Notamacropus eugenii: one gene and its partner. Each later gene encodes a partner of the first gene's protein in a complex. Links are inferred from orthologs where the notes say so. Each region holds a gene or a part of one and is shown in the gene's direction. Other genes may lie near its edges. The genes, in order: SIRT3 and ACSS1.

What was found.
Region 2: the proteins of SIRT3 (region 1) and ACSS1 are in contact, whole or in part, in a crystal structure (PDB 3GLT), measured with the Homo sapiens proteins. The link is inferred for Notamacropus eugenii from reciprocal best matches to the Homo sapiens genes SIRT3 and ACSS1. Residues at the interface, in NP_036371.1 of Homo sapiens: Gly145, Ala146, Gly147, Thr150, Pro151, Asp156, Phe157, Arg158, Ser159, Glu177, Phe180, Gln228, Asn229, Ile230, His248, Ile291, Val292, Phe293, Phe294, Gly295, Glu296, Pro297, Leu298, Gly319, Thr320, Ser321, Leu322, Glu323, Val324, Glu325; in NP_115890.2 of Homo sapiens: Ser640, Gly641, Lys642, Val643, Met644, Arg645.

The regions. Positions count from the first base shown.
Region 1 is NC_092873.1:28,144,046-28,153,680, forward strand, and holds the start of SIRT3 (NAD-dependent protein deacetylase sirtuin-3, mitochondrial), read left to right. Parts: upstream 1-5,468; 5' UTR 5,469-5,501; coding exon 5,502-5,583; intron 5,584-5,953; exon of another isoform or gene 5,954-6,947; coding exon 6,948-7,131; intron 7,132-9,635. Other genes in the region: PSMD13 (26S proteasome non-ATPase regulatory subunit 13), read right to left, coding at 907-1,078, 1,692-1,778, 1,986-2,029, 2,186-2,241, 2,322-2,356, 4,981-5,059, 5,152-5,246.
Region 2 is NC_092872.1:602,004,575-602,014,108, reverse strand, and holds the start of ACSS1 (acetyl-coenzyme A synthetase 2-like, mitochondrial), read left to right. Parts: upstream 1-5,260; 5' UTR 5,261-5,361; coding exon 5,362-5,755; intron 5,756-6,390; exon of another isoform or gene 6,391-6,540; intron 6,541-9,534. UniProt on the Homo sapiens protein: Catalyzes the synthesis of acetyl-CoA from short-chain fatty acids. Acetate is the preferred substrate. Can also utilize propionate with a much lower affinity. Provides acetyl-CoA that is utilized mainly for oxidation under ketogenic conditions.

The DNA.
Region 1 (9,635 bases):
ACTTCCTGTGGCTGTTCATTATCTCCCCATTAGACTGTGGGCCCCTTGAAGTCAGGGGTATCCCCAGGGTTTGGCCCAGTGCTTGGCACTTAGTAGGCACTTAATCTAATGCTTTTCGACTGGACTTGATGCAGGGCAAGAACACAAGTCATCACTGGGGAGACTGCCCAGAACACAGAGTGACCCACAGACAACAGGCTGTGACCTGACAGCCAAAGGGAGGCTGAAGAGCTAGGAGGTCACAGAGATCCTTTGAGAGTCTCTGCAGATGTGGACCACATTCCTATCTAACCTGACGCCTCAAGGGATAATATCTTTTCTAAATGTTCTCTTGCCCTCAGCACCCAGCACAAATAAAAAGCCATTTTAGGGTTAGGGAATGAAGGACTGTTGAATTGCACTTGCCCCAAATTCTCTCCAGGTTTCATGGTTTCTCTCCTACTTTTCTTCTCCTGGTTCTCGATCCAGCTCCCTTCCTGCCCTCGCCCTACCCAATGAAGGGCACCTTTTTGATTCCAACCCCCCCAACAGCAGCCTCCTTATCTCCTTAGCTGTGTGAGCAGCCCTTCTCTCTCTGGAGAAGAAACAAGGGCATCCCTACTGTGGTCTTGGGTGTTCTCAGATCTAGATCACAGGTCCAGAAGGATCCTTAGAGGCTGAGAAGCAGGAAGCAGCAGAGTTGGGGCCCAAGCCTTTAGCCTGTAGAGGGTGAACAGCCAGGCTTCTTATCCCTCTCCTGCCATTCCTGAAGCTGTGGAGGTGCCTCGAGCAGCCTTCTTCCTCACTGGCTCAGTTTCTGACCACCTGACCGCCCTCCATTTTCAGATGAATTCACTGCCCCAGACACTTGAGTAGGAGACACAGTGAGTGTGCCCGCCACCACCCAGCAACCTCACGTTGGGTTACCTGGCAGGTCCTTTACATCAATACAGCCCAGAAAGCGCAGGGCATCCTTGTAGTAGGATGCATGGTTTCCAATGGTCTGATAGTACTTGCTGGAAAGGTCATAGAAACGACTGTGTACAGATGTCACACCCGGAAGGTTATTAAGTAGCTCTTCCACGTCTTCAATTGTCTCCTGCACATGGATAGGAAGCCACCTTAGAGTGTCCTGGGTACATGGCTGTCGGACATTCCTTCCCCCAATCCCAGGAACGAAAGAAAAGAGCCCCAGGACCATGGGGGCAGAGGATACCAGACAGGCCAGCAAATGCCTCCTCTGCTTGCTGGACATGGCTGAGTCTTCTGTTTCCTTTGGGGCTAAAGCTCTGCCTTCCCCTAAGAAGGGGTAGCCCTGTCTATCTTATCTAAGGTCTGGAGATAATGAGGTCGTGTGGCCTGGAATGGACACACACGCTCCACCTCTTCACTGACTTACGTGTCATTACTCTAAAGGGAGCAAACAGATTGTTCAATCCCACCCCAAATGTGACCTAAGGCTCTTGTGCCAAGTCCTGATCAATCTGGGAGTCTCTGGGTGTTAGCTCCCAATCCTCTGCTCTCCTAACACAACAAGAATGGTTAAGCATCTGGTTTCCTTTGCCAGTCAGCTGGCTGTTAGACGCTGACTGTGCTCCAGATCAACTGGGGAAGGGGATGGGGCAGATGGATGAGCTTCTTAAGTCTCCAGGTCAAACAACCTCTCCAAGCTAGGACCCCTCAGGCACCAACAACTGGTCCCCTGCCCTCACCTTGGTCACCTGGAGGTCTCCAATGTTCAGTTTGAGAGCACCTATGGCAGTTTTACACAGGATTACTGCCTCATCACTGCTTTTTACCTGAAGTTGCCAAAAGGAGAAAGAGAAAGATCAGAAACCAGAGAAGCGGGTGACAAAAACTGAGAAACTACCAGGAAAAAGCTCCTGCCTTCCTACAGTCTCCATGTGCACAAGGCAACACAATTAGGAGTGAACCAGGGAGCCGTGGGCAGCCCAAGTGGGGGGCTGCTCTAGCAAGGAAAGGTGCAGCTAAAATGGCAAACCTACCTTTTCCCTAGTCTTTTCCAGAAACGTAAGAGCAACATTAGGATCTGGAGTAAATAAAAAGGTATGAAGTCAGAAGAGGCACCAATGGGCACATCAGGCCGGCATGAGGCTCTTTAAATTGGTAACGTAGTAAGGCCCATGAACTTGGCCTACAGTATCTTTACCCTTTGGGGTTCCTTCTTTGTGAAATTAATGCTCACCTGTCATCTGTCTAACTACATGGAGAATGATTTCCACCAAGGACAGAGGATTCACCCTGAAATGGAAAGATCACCTGGATTTAAAATTTCAACAATGTGCAAATGCAGAAGGTAAGTGATAAACAAGAGTATGTACCTGTGCTCAAACTCACTGATGAAGTTTTCATAGAGCTGCAGGAATAAAGAAATGGAATCCATTAAATCAGGCCAATTCCACCCTGAATTATCCTGCAGACCCCTCCTGAGCCAAATCTAGTTCTTATTCTCAAGTTCGGGGTGGGAAAGACACTAGAGACATGGCCCAGGAGATGCACAATGCCACACAACCAGACAGTTCCTAAACAAAAATTTGAGCTAGCAGTGCCATCCTGAATGGCCTCAATATGAGACTCCCCCCTCCCCCCCACCGAGGAACAGTGGCGTCCTTACGTTTCAGGGGGTGGTGTGTGGCCAGGGCTGATCCCAGGCATGCTTGGGAACTATGGCCGACCTTTGGGACTCTCTCCATTTGTTGACTGTACAAGCATTTTATGCAAGGACACAGTAGGAAGAATCTTGGGAGCAGCAAACGTGAGGCGACAGGCAGATGTGTTCCCTCAAAAGCCACCATAGTACCAAGTCAGAGGCAACCATGACAACAGAAATGTCCAAATTGTAAGGAGGGAGAGGAAACATGCTAGACTATTCTGAAAGGCTGAGGAGGAGCCAGGAGGAAGTGTGCATTCTGTGATGTCTGTGTACGGGGGACATGGGATTCTGTGGGTAAAAAAGCACCCAGTTGGGATATCAGTTATCCTTCTGCTGGAACCCCACTGTGATCGGCAGGGGCTTCATACCCAACACTCACACCACGCACATGGCAAGAATTAGATCAGCGAACACGTCAAGGGCAACATTTTCTCAGTGTCTAGGGAGACTGAAGGAGCTCAGCCCTACAAAGGGGCTGAGTAAAGCCGAGTGGTGAGAGAAGGAGGCTGGAGTCAAGGGAAAGGAGCCATGGTCACCTCCAGGCCTGGATGAGACCCAGATGGGATTGTTAGCTTGGGGGAGCATATTCCCCACTACATACGCACTGCATGAGTGGTATCCTTGCCAGGTTCTTATACAGACACCTCTGGTGTTACTTTCTGCGTCAGAAACCTAAATGACTGCTAGCAAACGAAAGAACGCTTCTGTGTTATCCCTAACCCTGCAAAGACAGGACAGAGGGAGGGCTAGGAGCAGCATATGTTAGCCCAACCAACCCCTTGCTTTTACATCGGTCTCCTGCAAGGATCAATTCCAAATCTTCGGATGCATTCCTGCTTTAACATGTGAAATTACATTACGAAACACGCACCAAATCCAGAAACTTAAGACTTTCTGTTCCTCCTAACGATTTTTTAGTGAATTTCAGATTTATTAACGCCTCTTAAGGAGCTGCTGCTTAAAATAAGCAATACAGCTTGTGAGCCCTGAATTAAAACAAAGCAAAGCAAAAGCCAACATTCAGAGAAACTGGAGCTAGTAAAGGAACCCAGAAAGCCAAAGCTTCTCCAGAGAGAGTTTGAAGGGACAGAGACGAGAAATAAAAGCAAGAGGATGTTTCACAGAAAGAAACCTTAATACTTGAGGCCCTACGGAGTCCAGAACTGGCTACCTGTTTGGAAGAGGTAGATCGCCAAGTGCCCAAGAAGCTCAGCACAGTGCCCAACAGATGGGCACAAAAGGGCAGGAAGCTCCCACGAGACCGAGGGAGATCAGCTGAACTACGGGCAAATACGATATCAGGCGTCTGAGCTAAAACCACCCAAGCTGTAATTATCCGATGATGTCATCGGTGCCCAGGAAAGGAGTTCTGGCTCGGCTGGCCGCATCTGAAAAAGCCTTCGTACACACCAGGAAAAGCTCTCAAAGGCTGACCAACGGACCGGACAACCAAGTGCGCCTCGCTGCGGACGGGCAGGACGCGGTCCGGACAAAAAAGCCGTCCCAAGGGCTAGCGGACCTGCAGGGCAGCCAGCAGCGCCCGCCGGCCAAGGCCACCCGCGCCCCTCGGGGGGCACCGCCAGAGTCGGGGCGCACCGGCCAAGGCCACCCGCGCCCCTCGGGGGGCACTGCCCACCGGCCAAGGCCACCCGCGCCCCTCGGGGGGCACTGCCCACCGGCCAAGGCCACCCGCGCCCCTCGGGGGGCACTGCCCACCGGCCAAGGCCACCCGCGCCCCTCGGGGGGCACCGCCAGAGTCGGGGCCCGCCGGCCAAGGCCACCCGCGCCCCTCGGGGGGCCCTGCCAGAGTCGGGGCCCGTGGGGGGAAGGAGAGCGACGCACCCGGGAACGGGAGCAGGAGACGGCCACCAGCCCAGCGGGAGACGGGCCGGAAAGACCCTCGGGTCCGCCAGAGAACAGGGATGGGTGCGCGCCCAGAGGGGCCGCGTGTCTGAAGCCGGGAGCAGCCTGGCACGTCCCTGGCACATCCCTTACACCGCGTGCCACGGAGGGACGTCAGAGGTCAGAGGGCACGGAGGATAAAGGGGCCAAAAGGCTGGAGAGCTCTCACACGCACCAAAGAAACGCAATCAGAACTAAAGGGACCCAAGTGGGGAAGGAGCCTCTGATAAGGGCTACTGCCCGAGAGAGACGAGCGACGGAGGCAGCGCGGAGCTGCCAACACGCAGGGGAAGGAACTGTTCCCGAAGCCGTCCGAGCTCAAGGACAGAGGGCAGGGATGACCCCGCGCTGCCAAGGACGGAGAGGCTGCCAGGCCCCGGCCCCGCAGGGACCCCCAGGACTTGGGGAGCCGGCCCCCCGCTCACCTTGATGAGCCCGTCGCCCTGGGCGAAGCAGGGATCCTGCACGAAGTCCAGGATCTGGAGCGTGAGCTGGTGCCATAACCTGGGAGACAAGAGGACCCTCAGCGCCCCCCGGGGGGGAGGGGAGCGGGCAGGATCCCGGGCCGGCCCCTCCCCCTCCCCCGCGCCCCTCACTTCTTGGTGTAGAGCTCCTCCAGGCGGTGCCACACGGCGGCCTGGCCGGGCCCGGCGCTCTGGCTCTGCTGCAGGAAGCCCGGCACGTCCTTCATAGCGACGGCGGATCCGGGACGGACGCGGAGAACGCGCGCGGGACTCCGGAGCAGCGACCGGCGCCGACGGAGGGGCCGACGGAAACGCACACTCACTTCCGGTGTCCGCACACTCACTTCCGGCGCACACCCGCACACGTCCGGCGTCTGCACGCTCACTTCCGGCAGGGCGCACGCGCCCTCACCCACTTCCGGCCCCGGTGCAGGTCGGGAGCGGCGCTCGCTTCCTCCGTCCTCCCCGAGGGAGTCGGGGCGATGGGGCCGGGCTGCGCCGCCGCCTGGACCGCCCTGGGTGCGGCGCTGGGGCCCGCGCGAGGAAGGGCCGCGGCAGCGCGCGGTGAGCGTCCCGACGTGCGTGCGCGTGCCCGAGGCCGGACCCCGGCGGGGGCGGAGGAGGGGCTCCAGTGACCTCTGCGGGCTGGGCGCGCGCCTGGGGTGGGGGCTGGGCGGGTGAGCTGCCGGGCCCGGCCCCCAGGGGTGCGGGACGTCCCGGGCCGAGGAAATGGGCGAAGGGGGCGCTGAGGCGGGCTTGGGTGCGTGTGTTCGGACCCCGATTCCGAAGTCGCGTTTCTGTCTAGCCCCCAATCTCTTATCTCGGGCAGTGTCCCTCCCGCCCCGGCAGGAACCATGCCTGCCCCCTGCTGTGCGCTGGGTCGTGGGACGTTCCTGCGTGCCTGAGCCCCCTTTCCATCACTCCTTCCTGCCAGGACATCGATGAGAGAAGCCTGATTGACCCTGGTCAGCCCTGACCTCGGTTGGCGGCCTGAAGCCGCACCTGCACGTGGCCCCTCTTTGCTCATTCCCCGCTGCCTGCCCGGCGGATACCCAGAGGGCGTTTTCTCCGAAGAACTGACCACTTCTTAAGCGCTCCCTGGCCCGGCCAGACCTAGCGGACATGCTGGGCACCCGTCTGACTACGCAGTGACCCGTGCAAACTTCGTGCCTCCTCTAAGTGGCAGGTTCCCTAGGGACCTTGCCCGCCGAGAGGCGCGCTAACGAGCGTCTGTGCCTCCCGCCCTAAGATCGCCGGAGTCCGGGGAATCCTCCCCAGACCGGGCTGCCGGGGCTCCGCGCCTCCGGTCCCTTCGCCGGGGAGATGGTTAGAAGGGAACTGTGTCCAAGATCTTTTGTTCCTTCGGAGCCCAGATATCCCCAGGACGCCGCCTGCTCTCCCACCCGGAGAACCATTCCCTATGACAAAGTGTTTTTAAAGGAGGAGAAGGAAGAGTCAGTGAAGCAAAAACGCTGAAAACGTGGGGAAATGCATGCCGGGTTCCCCGCCTCTGCGCCAGTGGGCGTGGGTGTGGGGAGAGGGGTCTTCTCTTCCTCAGGGTCGTGGGGCGGTCCTGGCTCCGCCTCCCTTCGTGCCAGGCTTTCCGTCTGCGTTCATTCGGGCATGTGCCACGATTTGTTCAGCCAGTCCCTAGTTGATGGGTGTCTATTACCCAAAGGGCTGCCGCCAACGTCTGGGTTCATGTGGGACTTTCTTCTTATCAACAGCCTCCTGAGATATAGACCGGCTCCTGAAATCCCTGGATCAAAGGGATAATGGACATTTCCAAACTGCATTCCAAAATGGTTGTAACAATTCAAAGCCTCACCGAGGGCGCTAATGTGCCAGTCTTCTCACAACCCTGTCACCACTGAGTAGTCTGTTGAATGCTGTCAACAGCTGGACTTTTCCTATCCTTGTTTCCTTAGGGTGGAGGTATCTCTGCCTGTGTGGACAGCCCTCTGTCTTCAGAGTTTGGGGGAGTCTCCGAGCTCTCCACAGATCCAGCTGCATCTCTCTGTGGGAGCAGGTGTTACCAGAGAAGATCCTGAGAGGGGAAGCTGTGAATGTGTCCAGCTCTTGGCAACAAAAGTTAGGTGGTCATTTCTGCAGGTACCCTGGGTGCCAGGGGGTGAGGGAACATAAGAGCTTTGAGTTTGGGAAATAGTGTCAGAGAGCAGGTTTTAAGGAGGGATGCAAATCCTTGTGCATAATAACTTAATAAGGGCTTATTAATTAAAGTTAGAAGGACGAGAAGAAGGAATTGTGGGAGACATCCGGGTCTTGGGAGATACATGGAATCATGATATCACAGAGTTGAAGGAGACTTTTAATATGGGGCTGATTTCCTAAACTGGGGAGAGCCAAAACAGAAAGGAAATCATAGACTAATTTCCCTAATGAATATAGATGCAAAAATTTTAAATAAAATATTAGCAAAGAGATTATAGCAACTTATCTCAAGGATAACACACCTGGTCGTAACCAGGTAGACTTTCTACCAGGAATGCAGGGCTGGTTCAACATTGGGAAAACTATCAGCATAATTGACCATATCAACCACAAAACTAACAGAAATCATATGATTAGCGCAATAGATGCAGAAAAAGCTTTCGACAAAATACAGCACCCATTCCTATTAAAAACTAGAGAACATAGGAGTAAATGGAGTCTTCCTTAAAATGGTAGGTAGCATCTACCTAAAACCACCAGCAAGTATTGCATGTAATGGGGATAAGCTAGAAGCATTTCCCAAAAGATCAGGGGTGAAAAAAGGATGTCCATTATCGCGGTTTTTCAATATTGTACTAGAAATGTTGGTTTTAGCAATAAGAGAAGAACAAGAAATTGAAGGAATTAGAACAGGCGAAGAAGAAACAAAGCTATCACTCTTTGCAGATGATATGATGGTATACTTAGAGAATCCTAGAGAAACAAGTAAAAAATTACTTGAAGAATGGACAATTTTAGCAAAGTTGCACAATGTAAAATAAACCCACATAGAATCATATATGTAACTAACAGAAACCAGTAGCAAGAGATAGAGAAGTTCCATTTAAAGTTATTGTAGACGTTACAAAATATTTGAGAATCTACCTGCCAAAACAATCCCAGGAACTGTATGAGCAGAATTATAAAAGACTTTTCACACAAATAAAGTCAGATCTAAATAATTGGAAAAATATCAGTTGCTCATAGGGAGGCTGAGCTAATATAATTTAAACGATAATTCTACCAAAATTAAATTACTTATTCAGTGCCATGCCAGTCAAACTACCAAAAATTATTTTATGGTGCTAGAAATAACAATCATAAAATTCATCTGAAAGAAGAAAAGATCCAGAATATCAAGGAAATTAATGAAAAGAAATGCAAGGGAAGATGGCCTAGCTTTACCAGATCTTAAATTGTATTATAAAGAAGCAGTCATCCAAACTACTTGGTACTAGGTAAGAAATAGAGTGGTGGATCAGTGGAATAGGTTAAGTATGCAAGACACAACAGTCAATGACTATAGTAATCTATTTGATAAATCCAAAGACTTCAGCTTCTGGAATAAGAACTCGCTAACAAAAACTACTGGAAAATAGTATGGCAAAAACTAGGCATAGACCAACATCTTACACCCTATATCAAGATGAAATCAAAATGGGCACTTGATTTAGTTATAAAAACTGATTCCATAAACAAACTCGGAAAGCAAGGAATAGTTTCCCTGTCAGATCTACAGAGAAGGGAGGAATTTACTACCAAACGAGATAGAGAAGATTATGAAATGTAAATTGGGTGATCTTGATTACATTAAATTGAAAAATTTTTGCACAAACAAAGCCAGTGCAACCAAGATTAGAAGGGAAGCAGAAAGCTGGGAAAGAATTTTTACAACCAGTGTCTGTGATAAAGGTCTCATTTCTAAAATATGTAGAGAACTGAATCAAATTTATAAGAACACAAGTCATTCCCCACTTGATAAATGATCAAAGGATAAAAACAGGAAGTTTTCAAAGGAAGAAATTAAAGCCATCTAGTTATATGAAAAATGACTATTCTAAATCATTGATTAGAGAAATGTAAATCAAAACAACTCTGAGGTACCACACCACACCTATCAGATAGGCTAACATGACAAAACAGAAAAATGATAAATGTTGGAGAAGATGTGGGATAATTGGAACACTAATGCATTGCTGGTGGAGTTGTGAACTATGCCTAAAGGGCTATCAAACTGTGCATAGTCTTTGATTCAGCAATCCCACTACTAGGTCTGTATCACAAAGAGATCAAAGGAAAAGGAAAAGGTCCTATTTGTATAACAGCTTTTATAGCAGCTCTTTTTGTTGTGGTGAAGAATTGAAAATTCAGGATATGCCCATCAACTGTGGAATGGCTGAAGAAGTTGTGGCATGTGAATGTAATGGAATACTATTGTAATATAAGAAATGGTGTGCAAGCAGACTTCAGAAAAATCTGGAAAGACGTAGATGAACTGAAGCTGAGTGAAGTGAGCAGAGCCAGAAGAACATTGTACATAGTAACAGCCACATTATGTGGATGTCTGACTTTGATAGACTTAGCTCTTCTCAGCAACGCAAGGATCTAAGACAGCTCCAAAAGAC
Region 2 (9,534 bases), on another chromosome or scaffold:
TCGATTTAAATTTTTCTAATTATTGGTGAGACAGAGTACTTTTTATGTGGCTATTAATAACTTGAATTTCTCCCTCTGAAAACTGCCTGCTTATATCTTTTGAACATTTATCAATTGGGAAGTAGTTCTCATTCTTATCAATTTCCACCAGTTTTCTACAAATCTTAGAAATGAGATGTTTATCAGAGAAATTTGCTGCAAAGATTCCCCTCCCTCATACCTGTTCTCTTCTAATTATAGCTGCATTGATTTTGTTTGTACAAAGCCTTTTTTAATGTTATGTAATCAGAATCGTATATTTTCCCTTCTGCGATCCTCTATCTCATTTGGCTGTGAAACCTTCCTTTGTACATGTGACCTATAATTTTATCTTTTTTTCCTCTAATTTACTTATAATGTCCTTTAAGTCATAAACCTAGTTGGAGCTTATCTTGGCATATGGTGTGAGATGTTGGTCTAAATCTAGGTACTGCCAAACTGCTTTCCAGTTTTTCCAATAGTTTTTGTTGAATAGTGAGTTCTTGCCCTAGTAGCTGGGATCTTTGGATTTATCAAACACTAGGCTATTGTGCTAATTGGTTTTTAATACTATGTAGCTAATCTGTCTTACTGATCAACCTCTCTATTTCCTAACCAGTCCCTAATTCTTTTGATGATTAATGCTTTGTAGAGTAATTAGAGACCTGGGACTGCTAGACCCCTTTCATCCTTCTCCTTTTCATTGATTCCCTTGTGATTCTTGATGCTTTATCCTCCTGATGGATTTTATTATTTTTTTCTAGTTTTATAAAGCATATAAATCCTTTAGTAATATGATTGGTCTGGTACCAAATAAGGAAATTGATTTAGGTATTAGTATAATTTTTATTATATCAGCGTGGCCTACCAATGAGCAATTAATGTTTCTACAATTATTTAGATCTGTTTTTATTTATATAAAGAATATTTTATAGTTGTATTCATATGATTCCTGTGTGGTTTTTAAGTTAATTTACCAAAAACTCTTGCTTTGTCTCTTCTAGCAATTCAGGCCAGATTTGTGCCCAAGCTTTATTTTGTTTAGGCTTTGCTTGTAGATGTTCGGGAGTCATTATCTTCTACTGGGTTTGTATCTTGAGCATCCCTGTCAACATAACAGATTTTTTTTGGGTGACATTCTTTTCATGTTTATTCATTCTTCTAGTCTACTTCCTGTTAGGGCCAGGTTCTATACACTTCTGAGGGGAATGTCTTGGTTAAGCTTTTGTCTTCTTGGGGTCTACTTCTATTTTTTTATGATATTGAGTGTTGTATGTATCCAGGATCTCAGGAATAGTTCTGGTTGAGTACCTGCAGGTTTTAAGTGCTTCGAAAGTTCTGTACTTCAGAGTAAAGTCTGATCACTGTTTTCTAGTTTGAGCTCTGCAAACTCTTGCCCTGGGTTTGGATCTATATAATATTCCTTTTGTTTTGCCCCTGGTTGGTACATTCAGCAGATTGCTTCTGGACTTAGTCACTATCTAAGTGACTAGCTGGAAAGTTCTGAGATTCTGATCCTGATCATGCCTCTGTAGGCTTAAGACTGACCTTGAATTTGGCATTGAGACTGTGCTCTTCTCTTGGGGTCATTAGCCACACAGCTACTAATTGCTACTGATCTTTTTCCTTGCTCAGTACACAAACTAGGTCATGAGATGTCTCTTTACCCTGGAATCCCACCACTATGTGCAAGTCATTTTCTCAGTCCATCCTGGATTTGTGATCAGGAACTGGGGAGTGAGTGACAGAGCTGCTAGTTGCCACCTCTTCCCATATCTTATACAAGAGCACAATGCCCCATCATGACTCTAGGACCTCTCCTTGCTCTTTGGCACAGTCCTTATGGCTTGTCCCTAGTGTCCACAGACAACTTTATCTGTCTCCCTATGCTATTCAAGCTGGAAAAAATGACTCATTATGAATTTTTTTGTCTTGAATTTTCCAGTCAGGACTCAGTTTGATGCATTTATTGCATCTTTGTGGAGGAGTGGGGAAACGCTCAGCTCTTCTTTTTTCTTCTACTCTGACATTTAGGCTCCGCTCATTTATTTCTCTTAAAAGTATCCCCATCTTTCTAGCTCAGGTTTGCAAAGAGTAAAGCCATCTTTTTTTCTTTTCTCTCCAGCACACTCATCTAATCAGCTGTAAGTCTTCTCTTCCATTTGTCCACTTCTCTGTCTCATGCAGCCACTATCTTAATTCAGGCCCTCATTCCTTCCACCTGGAACAATTGCAATAGCTTCTTAATAGATTTGTCTGTAATAACTTAAGCCCTAACTCAATGGTTCATAGGGTCATAGATCCAAAGCTGACGGAGACCTCAAAGGTTTTCTAGTCTGAATCCTTTATTTTACAAATGAGGAAATTGAGGCCTAGGTGGTATTAGAACAAGGTCCATGCTCCTAGTTTCTCCCTTCTCCTCTTTACCCTCTCCACAGCTGCCAAATTCGTTTCCTTGCTGCACAGGTGTGACTATATCACTCCTTTGTTTAAAAACTTTCAGAAGACCCTAGGATAAAATAATACTGCTCAGCTTTGTGTCTATAATTTGATTTCTGCCTAATCTTTCCAAACATGGCATTGTACCCCCTGCACACTCCCCTCAGTTGACACCTGTTCCCACAGGTTTTTATTTTTTCTGCTTTTCCTTTTAATCCCTTCTTGACCTGGTATGGGAACAGATTTTATCTAATGGTATATTCCTGCCTGGAGGCAGGAGGGTGAAAAACATCTGAGGTTCTTAATCTGGGGTCCTTGAACTTAAATTTTTTTTTTGATAACTGCATTTCAATATAATTGTTTTCCTTTATTAATCTTATATACTTTATTTTATGCAATTAAAAACATTATTCTGAGAAAGGGTCCATAGGCTTCACCAGACCACCAGCGGGTTCCATCCATGGCAGAGGTTGAGAGCCCTTGACTAGAAGAATTCATGATTCCTTATAGTTCTCAGATCTTATAATTTTATAGGTGAATCCAGTAGAGTAGAGATCATTATGAAACTGGGATAATTTAAGAAATCTGGAATCCTTAAAAACATGAATAGAGGCATTTGTAGTGAGTGTTCCTTTCTTATATCCTTCCTCGAAATTGCCCTCTTAGGTTGTAGTAAGGGAGTAAGGTCTATAGAGGAGATCATGATAGAGGGGATTAGGAACTATGTAATGCGTCCTCAGCCAAATTCCTATTTCTCATTTCTGGGTCCTGCACCAACAACCACTGAATTAAGGGCAGCCTCCCCAAAATGTCATAAAGTAATGGCAAATTGGTTTTCTGCTCTTATCTTTTCTCCTTTTTAAAGAATTTATGGGAAAACTGAAGCCAGGAAAAGTGAAGTGAGTTAACTAAGACTGACAAGTCATTGTCAGGAACTGGGTTAGAATTCCAGCGTCCTCTATATTGATTCATTTGCCAATGTTGTCTCTTGAACTGAAGGCCAGGAATAATTTCTTTGAATGAGAGAATCTTAGAGTTGCAAGGGACTTGAAAGGGCATCTTGTTCAGTCTTCCAACCCATACCAAAATCTCCTTTACAATATCACTGATAGGTGATCACTCAGTCTTCGCTTAGTTGGACATTTCATGGAACTCATCACCTTCTAAATGTCCATGGCTGGACAGCTCTTTTTGTTAGAAAGATTACTTCCAAGAACGTTTGACTACCTGGTGAGTAGTTAGATGATTCAATCTCTACCACTTTATGCTGGCATCTCTGTTTGTGACTACATTTAGCTTGTAGTACTTTGTTGGCAAAATAGAGCAGTAGGGGAAATATTCAGAGAATTTTCAATCTGAAAAAAACTATATGTAAAGAGTTTATATTTAGTTGTTTACTTGATGACATATATTTCTCCACATCACCAAGGTTCAACATTTCCATAAACATTTATTTCATATCCTAATTATGCAAGGTGAGGTACTTGGCCCTGGGATTTAAAGACAAAAGCCAAAGTCCTGGAGGAGTTTACCATTCTACTGGAGAGATTTAACATATACAGATAAGTAAATTCAAGGGAATTTCAGAAAGGGAAAGAGCATTAACAAATGGGGAGGCATCAGAGAACGCTTCCAAGAGAAGATGGCACCTGAATTGAGCCTTGAAGTAACAGAAGGAATCTTTTAGGGAGGAAAGGACTGCATTTCAAGTAGGAGGGATAGCTGGAAGAGACAAAGAAACAGGAGATGGGATACTGAGTATGTCAAGAGGAATATTATTAACTAAGGCTGAAAGAGTAGGTCAGTGAGTTGTGGATGGTCTTAGCTTGAGGGCTAGAGAGCTTTTGAAAGTTTTGGGACAGAAAAGTGATGCCTGTGCATTTGGATGATTAAGATGGCAGCTGAGTGGAGAATGGATTAGAGAGGGGAAACACTGGAAGCAGGAACCACCCACCCCCAGGGGAGCAAGGGCAATAAGCATTCTCTTTCTGTCTCTTTCTCTGTCTATCTGTTTATCTCTCTCTGTCTCTGTCTTTTTCTCTCCATCCCTACAATCGTCCCCTTAAAGACAGATATAGTGGAAAGAGCACTGGATTCATGTAGTTATGGGCTCAAAGTCCAATTCATTTACTTTATCAATTTTGTGACCTTGAAAGAAGACACTCACCAATTCTTTGGACTTCCATAGCTTTGTGACTTTGAACAAATCATCATCTTTCTGGACTTCCATTTTGGACTAAAGGATTCCTAAGGTGTCTCCTACATCTAAGATTGTATGAGATCCAGATAATAGCCTTATTTTGGTAGGCTCAAGAACAACCTATAAAATGAAATCAAAGCAAAACTTCAACTTGACATTCCACAAGACTGCCTTCATCACCTCCAAGCAGCAGGTACTGAGGACTGCCTCTCAGAACCTCGATGATCTCGAAGCCCTAAATTCTCCTCCTCCTGCGATCATATCCTCCCCTAATTCCCTCCTCCCCCCAAGATGACAGAAGGAAAGGTGGTGGGGAGGGGGAAAGATAACTGAACTTGGGGAGGTGGGCTCCAGAAGAATAAGGGACCTGACGAGGAGGTGGGAGTCAGGAGGAGGGAAGGAGAGAGCCACTACCAGGCCCCCTCCAGTTTACCACTACAGAGGAAATGGGGAGCTAAACGTCTTCTTTCTCTTTCTCACACTATCTCTCTCTCTCCTCCTTCCCCCCCACCCCCCACCCCGCCCTTCCCCGAAGAACTGGCAGTTGGGAGGGACTAAGAAGAGTGGGAGGAGCCCGTTATTGGCTCCGGTCCCCGCCTCGCTGAGTTCCTCTAGTTTTTGCGTTGGAAGTGCAGCCGTCTTAGGGTGCTGTGCCAGGATCCGAGGGGCCCCAGGAAAGCCGGGTCTGGGGGTGGCTAAACGCTATGACTGCTCTGAGCCTGTGCACCTCCGGCAGCGGTGGGGGCCGTGGACTGCTCCGCAAACTGTGCGGGAGCTTCTGGGTGCTGCCAGGATGCGGGGGGTCGAGAAGCTGGGGGCCGGGGCTGCCCCTGCAGCTACATCGCCGGTTCCTGGGCGGCCACGGTCCGGGCCTCTGGGCTGCCGGAAAAGGGGCCGGCAGCGCCGCCCCAGCGGTGTCAAGGAAACTCAGCACCTACGCGAAGCTGTGGGAACAAGCTGTCAAAGAGCCCCAAGTGTTTTGGGGGCGCCTTGCCCAGCACACGCTGGTGTGGGACACCCCTTACCATACCGTCGAGGACTGTGATTTCAACCAGGGCAAGATTAGCTGGTTCCTGGGCGGCCAGTTAAACGTGTCGGGTAAGGCTAAGGATGGGGGTTGGCATTTGGGGGAAGGGGTGAGGTAACAGGAACTATTCCTTCTCCCCATTTCTCCCATCATTTTAGTTTTTACTTGAACCCACAACCAGTCCATTCCTACATTTTGCCCTAGCAACCTTGGTCACCTGCTCCCTAGCAACCCTTACAACCTGGCCACAATTTCCTCGGTAATCTGGACACTTCTAGCAATTTGGCCAACAAATTCATAGCCCCCCTCCCCCCCCCCCCGGCAACATCCGCATCCTCTCCATGAAACCCTTCGGGGGGTCCCTATTTCCTTCGACTTTCTCTCCACTTTTACCTCATTTATCCTTAACAGTCTCTAGCAAAGTCAGGAGCCACGTCACCTTATCACTGCAAACTATAGATCCTCCCACAAAGCCCCTAAGAACCTCTAGGGCACGAGGGAGCTCTGACAGCTCCTGACCATTGTCACCTCCTCTGTGCACTCACGCGCCCTCTCCCCACCCCCACTCCACCCCAGAATGCTGCTTTCCTGCCAGCTATGTGGGGCGGGTTGAGAGCGCGAGTCCTTCCAGCTGCTGTCCAGGATGACAGGTTTGGGAGACTGTTAGAGGACGCTTTTTTCTTCCCTAGAGTTACCTTGTACTTACCCTTACGTTCTGGGCTGGCTAGGTGGGGGATCAGTTTGCACTGGGCAGCTAGCTGGGACCTGCGGACTCGAATGGACAACCCAGGGAGTTACATCCCCGCCCTGGTTCCGTCTTTTGTCTTACCCCTCACCCAGCAACTCCTCGCAACTCTCTGTTCCCTTTGTGTCCGTGTTATAAGTTTGAGCTAGGAAGAGCCCTTGACTCCGTTCTCCTAGGATCTAGACAGTTCCCTCTCCTCCTTTTCTTTTTCATTTCGCCCCTGGGATGCAAGCTAGTAAATAAACTCCGAATAAAACTCCTTAGTGAAAACGAAACGACTTCTGTAGTCTTGTAGCTGGCCTGCCTTACGGGCTGTCCCACAGCACCCAGACGTATCACTCAGGCCCCGGGGAGCCATTGGCGGCTGGAGGAGTTGCCTAAGTATTAACTCTGCCCACGTAAACAAACAATACATGCTTCCTTGTAGAGTGCAAAGAAGAGGTGAAGAAGAGAGGAAAATCCTTGGTCAATGAGCAGAGCAAACTTAAACAAAAATATATCCTTGCTCAGACAATGTTTTACTGGCTGAGACGAGGTTCCTCAGCCTTCTAGGCAACTCTGATAATTATCTTCAGGATAAGGTCGTCTGTGCATTTCAACCTCCTAAGAGGTATGCCTACTTCGTTTTCAAGGCCAGTAATATCTAAGATTTGACACTGGTGATGAGTCTTCAGTAACAGAGTCTTAAACCCTTTATTTCTAAGTTTCAAACACTGAAATCAGCTGAATCAATCAATCCACAAATATAGTCTCAGCCTTTAGAATGTATCAGGTATAGGATTAGGCATTTTATAGGGGAATAGAAAGTCATAGGCAAGTTCCAAGCCATCAAGGAACATATCATTCAGCCAGGAGAGAAGATATACACATGAAAAAAGAACTCAAAATCCAGGAAAGTAAGTGTGGTATACTAGAAAAAGCATTGAATCTAAAATAAGAGAATCTGAGTTTGAGTCCTGGCTCTGTCACTTACTAAGTAACAAGTCAAATCATTTCCCATCGTTGAGCCTGTTCCATTTTTTGAAAAAGGAAAGATTGGACAAGACGATCCCTAAGGTCCATTCCAGGCCTAGATTCTATGATTCCCCCAGAAATACCAAATGAAAGATATTGCCAAATTCAGTAATTTGCCACCCTGCTCCCTTCCCCCCATCCTTTACCTTTAGCCTCTCTGTAGCATTTAATGCCCTTGACTGTTCTTTCTTTCTGGATATTCTTGCTCTCTTGCTTTCTAACAACATAAAGAAGACAGATTCTTATCTACAGGTATATTCTTGCATAGGGACTGGAAGCTGAGCTAGATCAGTTGCTTGTTTCTCCTGTTACATTTCTTGTGGTCCCTTCTTTGTTTCCTTGCTCCTCTTTTACACCCGTTAATACTGGTGTTCCCCAATGATCTCTCCTTGCTTCTCTTGCCTTTACTCTTTACCAGTTCTTCTCATCAATATCATTGTTCCTACAGCTTTTACCATCATTTCTACACAGATGACTCCTAAATCTGTGTCTAAATCTACATTAGCTGTCTTCTCAGCTCCATACTTGAATCACCAATTACCTAACTTAAAAGGACATCTCCAACAGGATGATCATCTGGCACCTCAAACTCAACTAAACTGATCTTGTTTCCAAATTTGGCTCCCCCACCTCCCGAATTTGTCTGTTTATGTTCATATGACTAGTCTGTCCATCCAGTCACTCAGACTTATCTTGTAGCCATTAAAAAAATATTTTTTCTTCGCTCATTCATCAGTTGACTAGTCCCGTAGACTCAATTATCAATCTCTTCATTGATTCCTTCTCCTTCACCCGTAGGGCTTCTGACTTAACTCATCTCTTATTGCCTCAATTCTTTGGCTTTTAACTGCTCTTTCTGCTGCAGGTTTATTCCCTTTCTGATCAGCCCTTCATAATGTTGCCTAATGTACTGTTCTGATCATGTAAATCACCTCCTCAAAAAACTTCAGTGGCTCCCTTTTGCCTCTTAATAAGCATAAATTCCTGGTCCTATTTTAGTGTAGCCCACATTTTAGTTTAGTTTTTAACTTAAATGTTCAGGCTTATCTGTTCACATGCTTTGTGTTACATAGTTTTAGTCACACAGGATTACTGTATCTGAGCTCTTTCTCATCTTCGTCTTTCCTTTCCTCCTGTCTTTGCTCATAGCACCCACCTATACCTGAACTGGACTCCCCATGCTACCTTCCCCCCGTACATTTTTGGAGCTTTTATTCAAATGCTCTCCTTTTAAGGTCCAGCTTAGGAAGTTCAAGCAAAAAGTGATCTTTTCCTTTTCAAATTTCTCATGATGCTTTGCCTACACCTTTGGTTCATTTTTATTCCTTTATCCTTTGTATCATAGTGACCTGTATGCATGACTCCCCTTCTCATTGGACTATAAGTTCCTTGATGTCAGAGTCTAGGATGTATCTATCATTATTTCCTCTAGGATAGTGTCTTGCCCATTCACTATTTGTGAAATTGAATAAGCTCATCACATCTACAACTCTGGTTTTTTATTTCCCTCCCCCAAAATCTGCCCCTTCTTCTACTTTCATAATATATGTTAGTGAGAGGCATGAATATTTGCCCAATCTTTTGTTAACCCAGTATAAATCTTTAATTTAATTTAATAAATCTATTTTGCCTCCAGCATCAAATCATTGATAAGTCCTGACTATTTTGCCTCAATATCGCTCACATCCATCACTTCAGTGATATTCCTATTTCTACTACCTTAGTCCAAGGTCTCATTACTACCTCACCCACTTACACTGTTGCAATTTTTTCTGTAACTGAACTTCCCTGCTTTATTCTCTTAAACAATCTATGCCTTTTAGAACTCAAAATGACACTTCAAATGAATGCTCTGATGAGAGCAGACTTCAAGGGGGCAATCCTCTCCTTATTCCTGGAAGCTATACGCCCTCTTAAAATTCTTCATTCTGGGTCAACATGGTTGTTTTCAACCCATCCAAGCTAAACATACCAATGGACTAGTTGCATTCAACAAGCATTTATTAAAGGTCTACAATGTGAAAGGCACTTGATTGGGTGCTGGGTATATGAAGACCAAAACATTGGAGAAGCTGTTGATTATAGAGTCAG